3 linked regions of the Oryctolagus cuniculus genome follow. The protein of the gene in region 3 interacts with the protein of the main gene of each other region in a pairwise test. Links are inferred from orthologs where the notes say so. Each region holds a gene or a part of one and is shown on either strand. Other genes may lie near its edges. The genes, in order: SHCBP1, INSR and SHC1.

Region 1 (3,654 bases), on a different chromosome or scaffold from region 3:
CCCTGCTAACATGCCTGGCAAAAGAAGATGGCGCAAGTATTTTGGCCCCCACAAGCCACATGGGAGACCTGGATGGAGTGAACCAGAGGATAGAAGGTCTGTTTCTCTTTCTGTGTCTCCTTCTCTGTGACTCTGCCTTTCATATAAATAAAATAAATCTCTAACAAAAATAATAATAATAACTCCCCAACTGGTTCTTATATCAAGAAAACTATCTTATCAACCACCTCAGACCAGCTCAGCACTGAATTCACTTACAAAACTGCTGTTAAAAAATACATAAATAATCCAAAGTACTCACACCTGGGTCAAAAGGCTTGACAGCATTCAGCCCTTCTGAATTTTTTTCTGACTCAAAAAGTCTATGACTTAAACATGAATTACATTTGAATAAACCTAAGCATTTTTCAAGATTATCTAATTTTACTATCTCTTAAACAGATTGATATAAAATAAGACTAACTTCAAAGTGTCTCAGCTATTGCAAAAAACAACCTATCTTGTTAACCAACCAATAACAATGGATCTCTATTAATCCTAATCAAACTAATAATGCAAGGTGAGATTCTCAGAGCTCACAAAAAATTAGAATATCTGAAAACTAGGGAACTTGCCTAACTTTCCTCCTAAAACAGAACCACAGAGATAAAGCTGTAAGAAATAACTCTCATTGTCTCAAGATGAGTCTGCTTGAGCAAATGAATGAAGTAACTGCATTAAACAGGCAAAGCCATTTATTGCCATGTGGCGAGTATAGGCAAGCACTTGGAAGCACCAGAGAATTCAGGACTTCATAAACCAAATGTTACCAGGGGTAGACTGTGTATGATTAGATTATGAGTAAGACAAATGGCTTTGCTTCCAATTTTTTGTACATGTCTGTTTGTACTTTGCAGATTTTATTTTATCATTGTATTTTATCATCGGAAAAATTTTTTAAATTTTAAATAACTGCATTCTGAGGAAAAGTTCTTCTTATATAAACATATTACAGATTCTTAGTAGTTTAAAACACAAAACCATCATCAAAGTAAATGGATTTTCTAAACACAAATGACCTACAGTAAGTACTGTTAAAACCCTGTAAACTGTGGGTACTCAATATATGTTATGTGTTAGCTATAGATCAGTATCAGATAAGCTTTAATCTTACTCTTGAACATGTTCTCCATATATTCACACTAGAGACACTATTTGATTCCTCAGTTCTCAGAAATGCCCTCTGTTAGTAAATTTATAGTCATTTTTATACTTAACTATCAGAATTCTATGTGGTTATTTATGACACCCTGGCAATTACATTATAATTTCTTCACCAATCTAGGAAGAATTCTTATCTACCACACAATCTACAAGATCATTGTTATTCTCACTATGCCAAAAAATAAAGTGTTTTTATTGCAGTGATTTATCCCCCAGATGTGTTATTTATACACATATATCTATTATAAATCAAATATGGGAGAAGAGAAAGAGCAAAAATTACACACATAAAACAAAAGAGGGTGAGACGAGGTACTAGTGAACAGCAGGAAATTAAACTCCCAGCCTTGCTCCCATTAAGAAGTTCTGACAAGATAAAGATAAAGAACATAGCTTATGCAGTTTGTGAACAGCTGCACAAGTCCCAAAATGATATACAATTTTTTGCATTACAACTTTTATTGCTAACTTAAAGCTGCTTGGGCAAATAGTTGAACAGGTGCATCTAAATTTGACACATTATGGAAATACACAGGACCAAGATAAACAACTATAAGGTAACCTACATTTAGGCATCCCTCTAAATGAATAACTGCTAAAAAGTTATTTCAATAGAATTTTTCAATACTCATATCCTCAAAAGTATACTTTGGTCAAGACACAAAGTGTAGCATTTGTGACATTAAGCAAGTTTTTAAAGAATTAAAACAATTTTTCATACCAATTTTAATTTAAATACATCCCTCATAAAAATAAATTAAAAAAAAACAAATATAACAAAAGAGAAAACAGACACTAAGATATTCACAACAGTTGTAACAGCAAGCAACAAACAGAAAAATACAAAATTTTGAAAAAATATTGCTGGAAATGTTTTTTATCATATAAATTAATTTCCATTCCATAAACCACCCATAATCTGGAAGGTCTGATTCTTCATAATGGTCTTTTTTTGTGTGTGCCTGTGAACATCTTTCCAATATACATACTGTCATAAACAGCTACAACTCAAGTTGTTCAACACTTGGTCAATTCCCTGCATGCTTTAAATACTCTTAATGTTTCCAGGCAGTTCACTTGAAATCATTCATAGAGCTTCAACAAGAGCCAAGATTTCTCCTTATAGGTATCATGCATGAGATTTTGGTTGTGAGCTCTTCCATACTCACCTTCTAACTCAACAGAGTCAGCAATGGAGAATGTGCCGTGCACCACGTAATGACCAGGACACACGATAACAGAGTCTCCTTCATAGCAGGCATTTATGGCAGACAACGGATCACTATGGAACTAGAAAACAACAACATATTGCAAATACATAGCCCCCAAATGCAACCTGAGAATTACTCCAAGTGCCTTCATGTCTCATTTTCAAAATGGAGTCAAAATTGCAGAATTAAGTATCTGCTCTGATAGATAGTTGCACTGAGTCAAGTCCTGTTTGGTAGGTGACTATTGATGACATACAGCACTCCCCCTACTCCCCATTTCAAGAAAACCAGCACTAGGAAGCTCCTAGGAACACTTGGTAGCATTCATGAAAATATGGGGTAAATCAAAAGAAAAAGTTACCTAGTGAGCAAGAAACTCTTTTTACCTGAATTTCTGTTTCTTCCTTACAAGGGTCCTCACAGAGCCTGTCCCTGAGTAGGGACCGCAACAGACCAGTCATCATGGTGGAAGAGACCACATGGGTGACCTTCTGACCGCCTGGACGGAGGCCCTTGGCTTGGATATTAGAATTCTTCTGATAACCAAACACATATCTTAAAGAAACCACACAGACCTATCAGTTCTCAGTAAGACAGATATTAACAAAAGATGCTAACTAGCTAAGAATAACAAAGACACACATACCTCAACAAAGGATTCTCAATAAGTTTTAGCTTTTGTTTCAACTGTTCGATCTCGGAATACAATTTTAACCCTTCCACCATGGAGATATTTTCCTGCTCAGAATCAGAGTTACAATTTGACAAACTGCTTCTCAGATTCAAAAATTTCCTGTAACTCTCCTCACATTGAGACAACAGATTTTGGTAGTCAACAATGAGTCCTGAAGGAACTCGGTCTTCAAGAATGTCATAATGCCTGAAAGTTTAAAAGCAAATTGAAATTCATTGCCTTTCAGGCACATTTTCCTATCATTAACACAGCCCATTTAGTCCTCAAAGACCCAGCAAGAAAATGTTTCATAGCATAAAACTCAGATACATGTTAAGTCTTTCTGAACAGCACTCTATTATAAGTAGAAGCTATTCAAAGTTTTGAAGCACCACTTCATTAAGGTCACTAATTCTCCTTTTGAAGAGTTATTTTTTTTTTCATAGATTCAAGCATTTATGCTTTAGAAACACTGAAAGTTCAAGTTGCGCAATTTGTAATCACTGTTTAATAAGAAACTATTTTCTTCTCATACATTAGATCCAAAATCTTCATAAGTGGGTGGCA
Region 2 (3,654 bases), on a different chromosome or scaffold from region 3:
GAGCTTCCCTCCCCCACCCCGTTCTTCCTCTGAGCAGCTGTGGTTCCTTTCACAAAGGGAAGGACAGTGGGGTCCCGCCCACCCAGAAGTCCTTGGTGTGCAGGTCTTGAACGGTTCCTCCTCCAGACTCCTCTCTCCCGGGCCCTGCAACATCACGAAGCCCCTGAGAAGTGCCTCAGGTGCCCCGGCGGGCCACATCTCCTTTGCCATTGCTTATGCTGTCCTCCAGACGTCTTTGGGCTTTGATTGTGTTGTGTTTGCACAGTCCCCGGGGGCCGTGCAGGCCCGGGCGAGGCAAAGCCGCATGAGGTACATACAGAGAACCCGAGGGAGAACACGGGTGTCCTCGGAGCTGGGTTCCGCTCCTGGAAGCCTCCCGCTGAGCCGAGCAGGAGCCCTGTGGCAGGCCGTGGTATCCAAACCACACCTTCCACAAAGCCCACTTGTGCACCCACTCAGCATGGCCTCACGATGTCCACAAAGATTAGCAGCGAATGTGGCTTAATTCCCAGAAGAATGGATGCTTTAAGACCAAACAAAGAGGCCAATTGTGCCTGGCACCCCTCCTTATAAGCAGGAAGGCCCACTCATGACCACACTCCCCGACTCGATAACTTACATGGCTAATGCTAAAGGTGTTCTCCCATTAAACAGGGTACAAATATATCCTCAAAACTCTCCTGCCGTCCCAGTTCTTTTATTTTTTTTTCCCCATCCTAGCTTTGTTTGGTCTTGAAAGAACCCATGATCACTCTAAAAGAAATGCTCCTCCCTTAGTTCCTGGGGGAAAAAAAAAATTTTTTTTTCATCCAAGTGAAAGGAAAGGAGACATCCGAGGCTAGACTTGTAAAATGAGAAGAACCTGCCGGGGGCACAGTATGCCAGGAAATAAGGCAGGGGAGCGTGGGGCCGGAACACGCCAACTTGAAGCAGCGCAAGTGTCAAGTGCCGGCTCTGCACGCGTGAATACTCTGCACGTGCGTGTGCGCACACACACACACACACCCCAGCGGTCTCTAACCTGCACACACACACACACACAGTGTGCACACACCGGGGACGGCAGGTGTTCATGCAGAGTATGAAAACAGCAGCTATTGGTCAACTTGAGGAACTGATCTTTGTGGAGAAGAAGGCAAAGAAGCACGTCCTTCAGTGGGATGAGTAAAACCTTCGCACGCCCACCCTGGCGAGCGTGGAACTCCCTGCCAACAGGGGGTGTGGGTTTTCCTTTTCTCCTTTCAAACTTTTGTTCCACAAACAAGTATTACATTTTATACTGTAGCTCAGACACCAGCAAGGAAAAAAAAAAAAACTGTAAAAACAGGTGCTTTCTTCCCATTGTGCTACGAGATTTAAAAAAAAAAAAAAAAAAAAAAATCCCGGTTTGAGACAGCTGTAGAAAACCCTCCCTGCCCCTCTAGGCTCACGGCTGCATCTTTCACGGACGCCCCGGTCACATTGGCAATTGCACAAGTGTGTGTGTGAAGTCCGAAGACAAGCAGAGAAGTCGAGGGCCGATTTCTGAGCCCGGTGGGCCACGAGGGCGAGTCGCCGCGATCCTGAGTTTTCCGGAGACTTTGGAACCAGAGGAAGGTGTGGATGGAAACCCCGGGCCCGGGCAGGCGCCGTTAGGAGGGATTCGCCCGAGGCAGGCTCAGAATCCGCCCGTTTTTCTTGCCCCCGTTCATGTGGGTGTAGGGGATGTGGTCTTCATAGCGCTTGACGCCCAGCGAGGACACCCCTTCCCGGCCCCCTGCCTCCTCTCTCTGACAGTGCGCGGACCGGTCCAGTGGCACGCTCTCCATGTCCTCGAATTCCATCTCCAGGTCCTCGCTCTCGGGAGCCTTGTTCTCCTCGCTGTGGAAGAAGGAAACTTCCGGAAAGCTGGGGTGGAGGTCGTCCTTCAGCAGGCTGACGATCTCCAGGAAAGTGGGCCGCATCTTGGGGTTGAACTGCCAGCACATGCGCATCAGGTCGGTGCTGCGGAACACAGGGACATGGCCACCGTGAGTCTGGGGGCCCAGCCAGGCAGCCCCTCCCCCGTCCTCTCGCCTCTGCAGCCCAGGCCAAGCGTGCTGCAAGATGCTTTGGAAGATTTAGTTCATTGAAACACACACACACACACACACACACACACACACACAGAAAGAGAGAGAGAGAGAGGGAGAGATCTTCCATCTGCTAGTTCACTCTGCAAATGGCCACAAGAGCCAGGGCTGAAGCCAGGAGCCAGGAGCTCCATCCAGGTACGTGGCTGGCAGGGGCCCACATCCTTGGGCCATCACTGCTGCCCCCCGGGGTGCACAGGATGCATCAGAAGGGGAGCAGCTGGGACTTGAACTGGCACACCGACATGGGAGGTCCATATTGCAAGCCGCAGCACAACGCACTGCACAGCAACACCAGCTCCTTCTATGAGCTTTCTGAAGGGTCCGCGGCCCACGGGCTGCCCCAGGCAGTGCTGTGCAGGCTTCGTCATTTCACACACTCCTGATTTCCCCGCCCCTCCCCAATCTGGGGCATTTCCTGAGGGCCCAGTCCCACCCAGGGCTGCTTGGAAAGGCCGCCTGTGACCCCCGGCTGTTCCAGGGAAAGACCTCTCCAGGCGGGGGAGCTGAAGCTCATGGGAGCAGCAATGCCTACGGAACCCAGAGAGGCAGTTCCGTGTCCGTCCTGCTGGCCCAGCCCTCCGTCTCTGGAGGGTGGCGGGAGGCGCCTCAGTCAGGCGTCTGTCAGCAGCCAGGACCCCAGCCTCACATCCTCATGGCTGCCCATTTCCTCAGCCAACAGCACTCTGAGAAAGGGGCTGAGGACTTGTGTTTGCCATTTTCCCTCTTTCTTTCCAAACTCTAACTTCTTCTACAAGAGTCAGCCAGCTCAGTCCCCAGAACAAATCCACCCCCACCTCAGAGCCAGGGTGTTTTTGAATAAAGTTTTATTGGCACACAGTCATAGCCATTCTCTTACATAATGTCTGCGGTTGCCTTCCAGCTACATCCGCAGAGCCGAAGAGCTCTGACAGAAAACCCCATGGCCCACCGAGCTGACACCACTCACCATACGATCCCTTCCAGAAAAAACAGGGGCAAACTCCTGGCCTTAATTCCCCTGATCAAGGCTGCTGCCTTGCATGGCTAGGAGAGGAAATGCACGGGGAAATGTTTAAAAATATTTTTCTCCAAGTTTCTAAATGACTCTGCTTCTCACTTTTTCCATATCAGATTTCTTCCCATGAAGTTTCCTCAGTTGATGTCTTATTTGGGAGCTGCAGTATTCAAATGGATTTTCTTAATAAGCATGGATAAAGGTCTTTATATAAAAATAGATATTATCAATATATAAAAATTATATATCAATTAAGTGTTCATTGTAGAAAAGTCAGGAAAAAAACCAAAATATACACATCTCGCAATTTTCCTTCAGCTTTAACCTCTGGTCTTTTCAACTGAATATACCCATTCCCACTTAATTTTTTTAAAGATTTATTTTATTTATTTGAAAGAGTTACAGAGAGAAGGAGAGGCAAAGAGAGAGAGAGAGAGAGAGATCGATCTTCCACCTGCTGGTTCACTCCCCAGATGACCACAATGGCTGGAGCTGAGCCGATCCAAAGCCAGGATCCAGGAGCTTCTTCTGGTCTCCCACGTGGGT
Region 3 (2,456 bases):
TCAGGCTGCACCATCCCCCGGAAGGGGAGTCGGGGCAGCACAGGCCCCCGAGCTGCTGCAGCCCCAAGGTGCGGCGAGGGGGAGGCGCCGAGCTGGAGCACGAACTGCGAGCCCGCTCCAGACTCGCCGCCCGCCCGCGGCAGCAGCAGCGACCGGAACCGGAACTCCGCTCGGCCGCCACCACCGAGCGCGGCGGGGAGGGGAAGCAAGGACTGGGAGACTCGGCGCCTCAAAACGCAGGAAGAGGGGAGAGAGGACCACGGGGCGGCCCTAGTGGAGACAGCCGTCGCCCTCTAGGGAGCGGCCGGCCCCAGCTCACCGCGGGACGCCGCCCGCCAGCCCCTGCGACCGGACCGTACCATTGCGGGCCGAGGGGCGCGTGCCCAGGAGGCACCGGCAGCCGCCGGCTGGCCTCGGACCCTGCCCCGCCCCGCCCCGCCTGCACCAGGCCCCTCCGCAGCCGCATCCCCCGGGGACAATCGGTCTCCACGCCCACCGGGCACTAAGTCGGCCGGCGCCCAGGGCCCAGCGGGCGGCGCCGGGCCCCAAGTGAGGCCAGGTGGGGCCAGCGGCGACCTGGAGCCTCCCCTCCTGCCGCGGAGGCTCCGCGCGAACAATGGGCTTGCAAGAGTGGCTAAGAAGGCGAAGTAGAAGAAATACGGATTTTAATGAAGATTATTTCCCTTTGGTATAAGTGAGACCCGTGAAAACATCCAAACACACGAAAGGAGGTGGTGGCTAGGATTAAAATTGTCAGCTTTCCCTTCCCCACAGGCCTAAAGAGCAGGACTGGCCTCTTCTGTGGTTGTGGCTGCAGTGGGCCTAGCACAGGGCCCCGCGTGTAGAAGGTACTGGGGGACCTGTGGGCTTTAAGTTCCCCCTTCGTGAAATCGACACAGCCAGCCAAACGCCTGCCTCCCAGCCTGCGGTAAGAGGTCCAAGTTCTAGTCCTGGCTCAAAATCCGTTTCTGCCTCTGGTCTCTTTTGTAAAAATAATAATAATGCTGCCAGTCCGAGTTCCTTTGCAGGCCCGGTGAGGAAAATGCCAATAGTGGTGAGAGGGCTTGGAAAAGTCAAAGAGGTGATGTGTGGATGTAGTTGATCATCATCATTTTGTGTTCAAGAACAAGCCATGGAGAACAAAATTAGGAAAGTAAACCTACAGCCATAAAATATGTGCATACAAAGTAAAAATGAGCGCGGTTCCAAATCGACAGATGGTATTTGGGATTGTCTAATGCTTTCGAGTCTCAGTGCCCTTGTTCCCGCCTCCACAGAACCCTCCTGGGAGAGTGAACTGTACAGGAGGCTCCAGTTCACACCCTGGGAAGGGAGAGGCAGAGCCGGGATACAGGAGGAAGAGCTACACTTTGGCTGTAGAGTATAACATGCATGCAACATGGGAGGGGCGGGGCGTATGAAATGTATATACAGACCCCTTGGGGAGAGGGGTCCCGGCCAGGAGGCACTGAGCAAGGGAGGGGGTCCATCTCCCCCCTGGCCGGGAGGGGGGCTCTGGGGCAATCTCTAAGGGTTGCACCTCCCCAGGGAGAGGGGACAGCTGCCACTACTGCTTCTGTTCTCCCAACCCAAACTGGAGAGGCTGCTGAGCAAGGAGGACAGGGTCCTGGGAGCCAAGACGGCGTCAGCACCCCTGTCCTTAACTCAGGGGCCCGAAAACTTCTTTGCATTAAATATCGTCAGACCTAGGAGATGGTCAAAGGCACAAAGTTAAACGCTGGGGGGAAGGCTGAGAGTGGTCTGTGACTCCCTGAAGCCCAGGGGTAGACCCGAGGTGTGATTTGTTCCCCTTTCCCCAGAAGGGTGACTGCTCCACTGGGCCTATCACCAGGGGACGTTTCCATCTCGAGTGCCCACCTTCCTGGGGAAGGGGGCATCAGGTTGGCACAGGTATGGGGGGGCCACTCTGTACATTAATACTTTGGTGAGGTTTGGGGAGAAGCAGGATTCTACCCCAGGCTCCTGACTCAAACCCTCTCCCTCAGCTGAATGCAAAACCCAGTGTCCACCCTCCTCCCAGCTCTGACCCAAGGCCAAGCCCACAGAACACTCGTTGAGTGAAGTCCTGAGAGCAGGGAACAGGGTGGAAGGGGAGGCAGGGGCGTCTTCTGTGAGAGCTCGGGGACGCGGGGACGGATCACAGTTTCCGCTCCACAGGTTGCTGGAGACACAGTTCGCTGCCCGCAGAGATGATGGGCAAGTGATTGTCCATGTGGTAGCTGATGAGGTGGCTGACACTCTCAAAGCGGTGATCCTTTGTCCGAACCTGGGAAAGTGAGAAGGAAGGGGGGTCAATTCAGGTGAGGAGCCAAGACCTCGGCGGCCCTTAAGTCTTGAAGAAAATGAAACAGTCGAGAAGGCTGAGCAAAGAGAAAAAGACGGGGGTGGGGCTGGGGGTGGGGGGTGATGGCTGGTTGAGGCTTCCCTGGAAAGAG

Evidence for each region.
Region 1: the proteins of SHC1 (region 3) and SHCBP1 interact in a two-hybrid assay, tested with the Homo sapiens proteins (2 studies listed by BioGRID, with this or other methods). The link is inferred for Oryctolagus cuniculus from reciprocal best matches to the Homo sapiens genes SHC1 and SHCBP1.
Region 2: the proteins of SHC1 (region 3) and INSR interact in a two-hybrid assay, tested with the Homo sapiens proteins (2 studies listed by BioGRID and IntAct). The link is inferred for Oryctolagus cuniculus from reciprocal best matches to the Homo sapiens genes SHC1 and INSR.

What each region holds. Positions count from the first base shown.
Region 1 is NC_091449.1:30,368,780-30,372,433, forward strand, and holds part of SHCBP1 (SHC SH2 domain-binding protein 1), read right to left. Parts: intron 3,295-3,654; coding exon 3,061-3,294; intron 2,970-3,060; coding exon 2,801-2,969; intron 2,494-2,800; coding exon 2,373-2,493; intron 1-2,372. UniProt on the Homo sapiens protein: May play a role in signaling pathways governing cellular proliferation, cell growth and differentiation. May be a component of a novel signaling pathway downstream of Shc. Acts as a positive regulator of FGF signaling in neural progenitor cells.
Region 2 is NW_027208201.1:3,562,598-3,566,251, forward strand, and holds part of INSR (insulin receptor), read right to left. Parts: intron 1,984-3,654; coding exon 1,632-1,983; 3' UTR 1-1,631. UniProt on the Homo sapiens protein: Receptor tyrosine kinase which mediates the pleiotropic actions of insulin.
Region 3 is NC_091438.1:43,545,685-43,548,140, reverse strand, and holds the end of SHC1 (SHC-transforming protein 1), read right to left. Parts: intron 2,288-2,456; coding exon 2,159-2,287; 3' UTR 649-2,158; downstream 1-648. UniProt on the Homo sapiens protein: Signaling adapter that couples activated growth factor receptors to signaling pathways. Participates in a signaling cascade initiated by activated KIT and KITLG/SCF.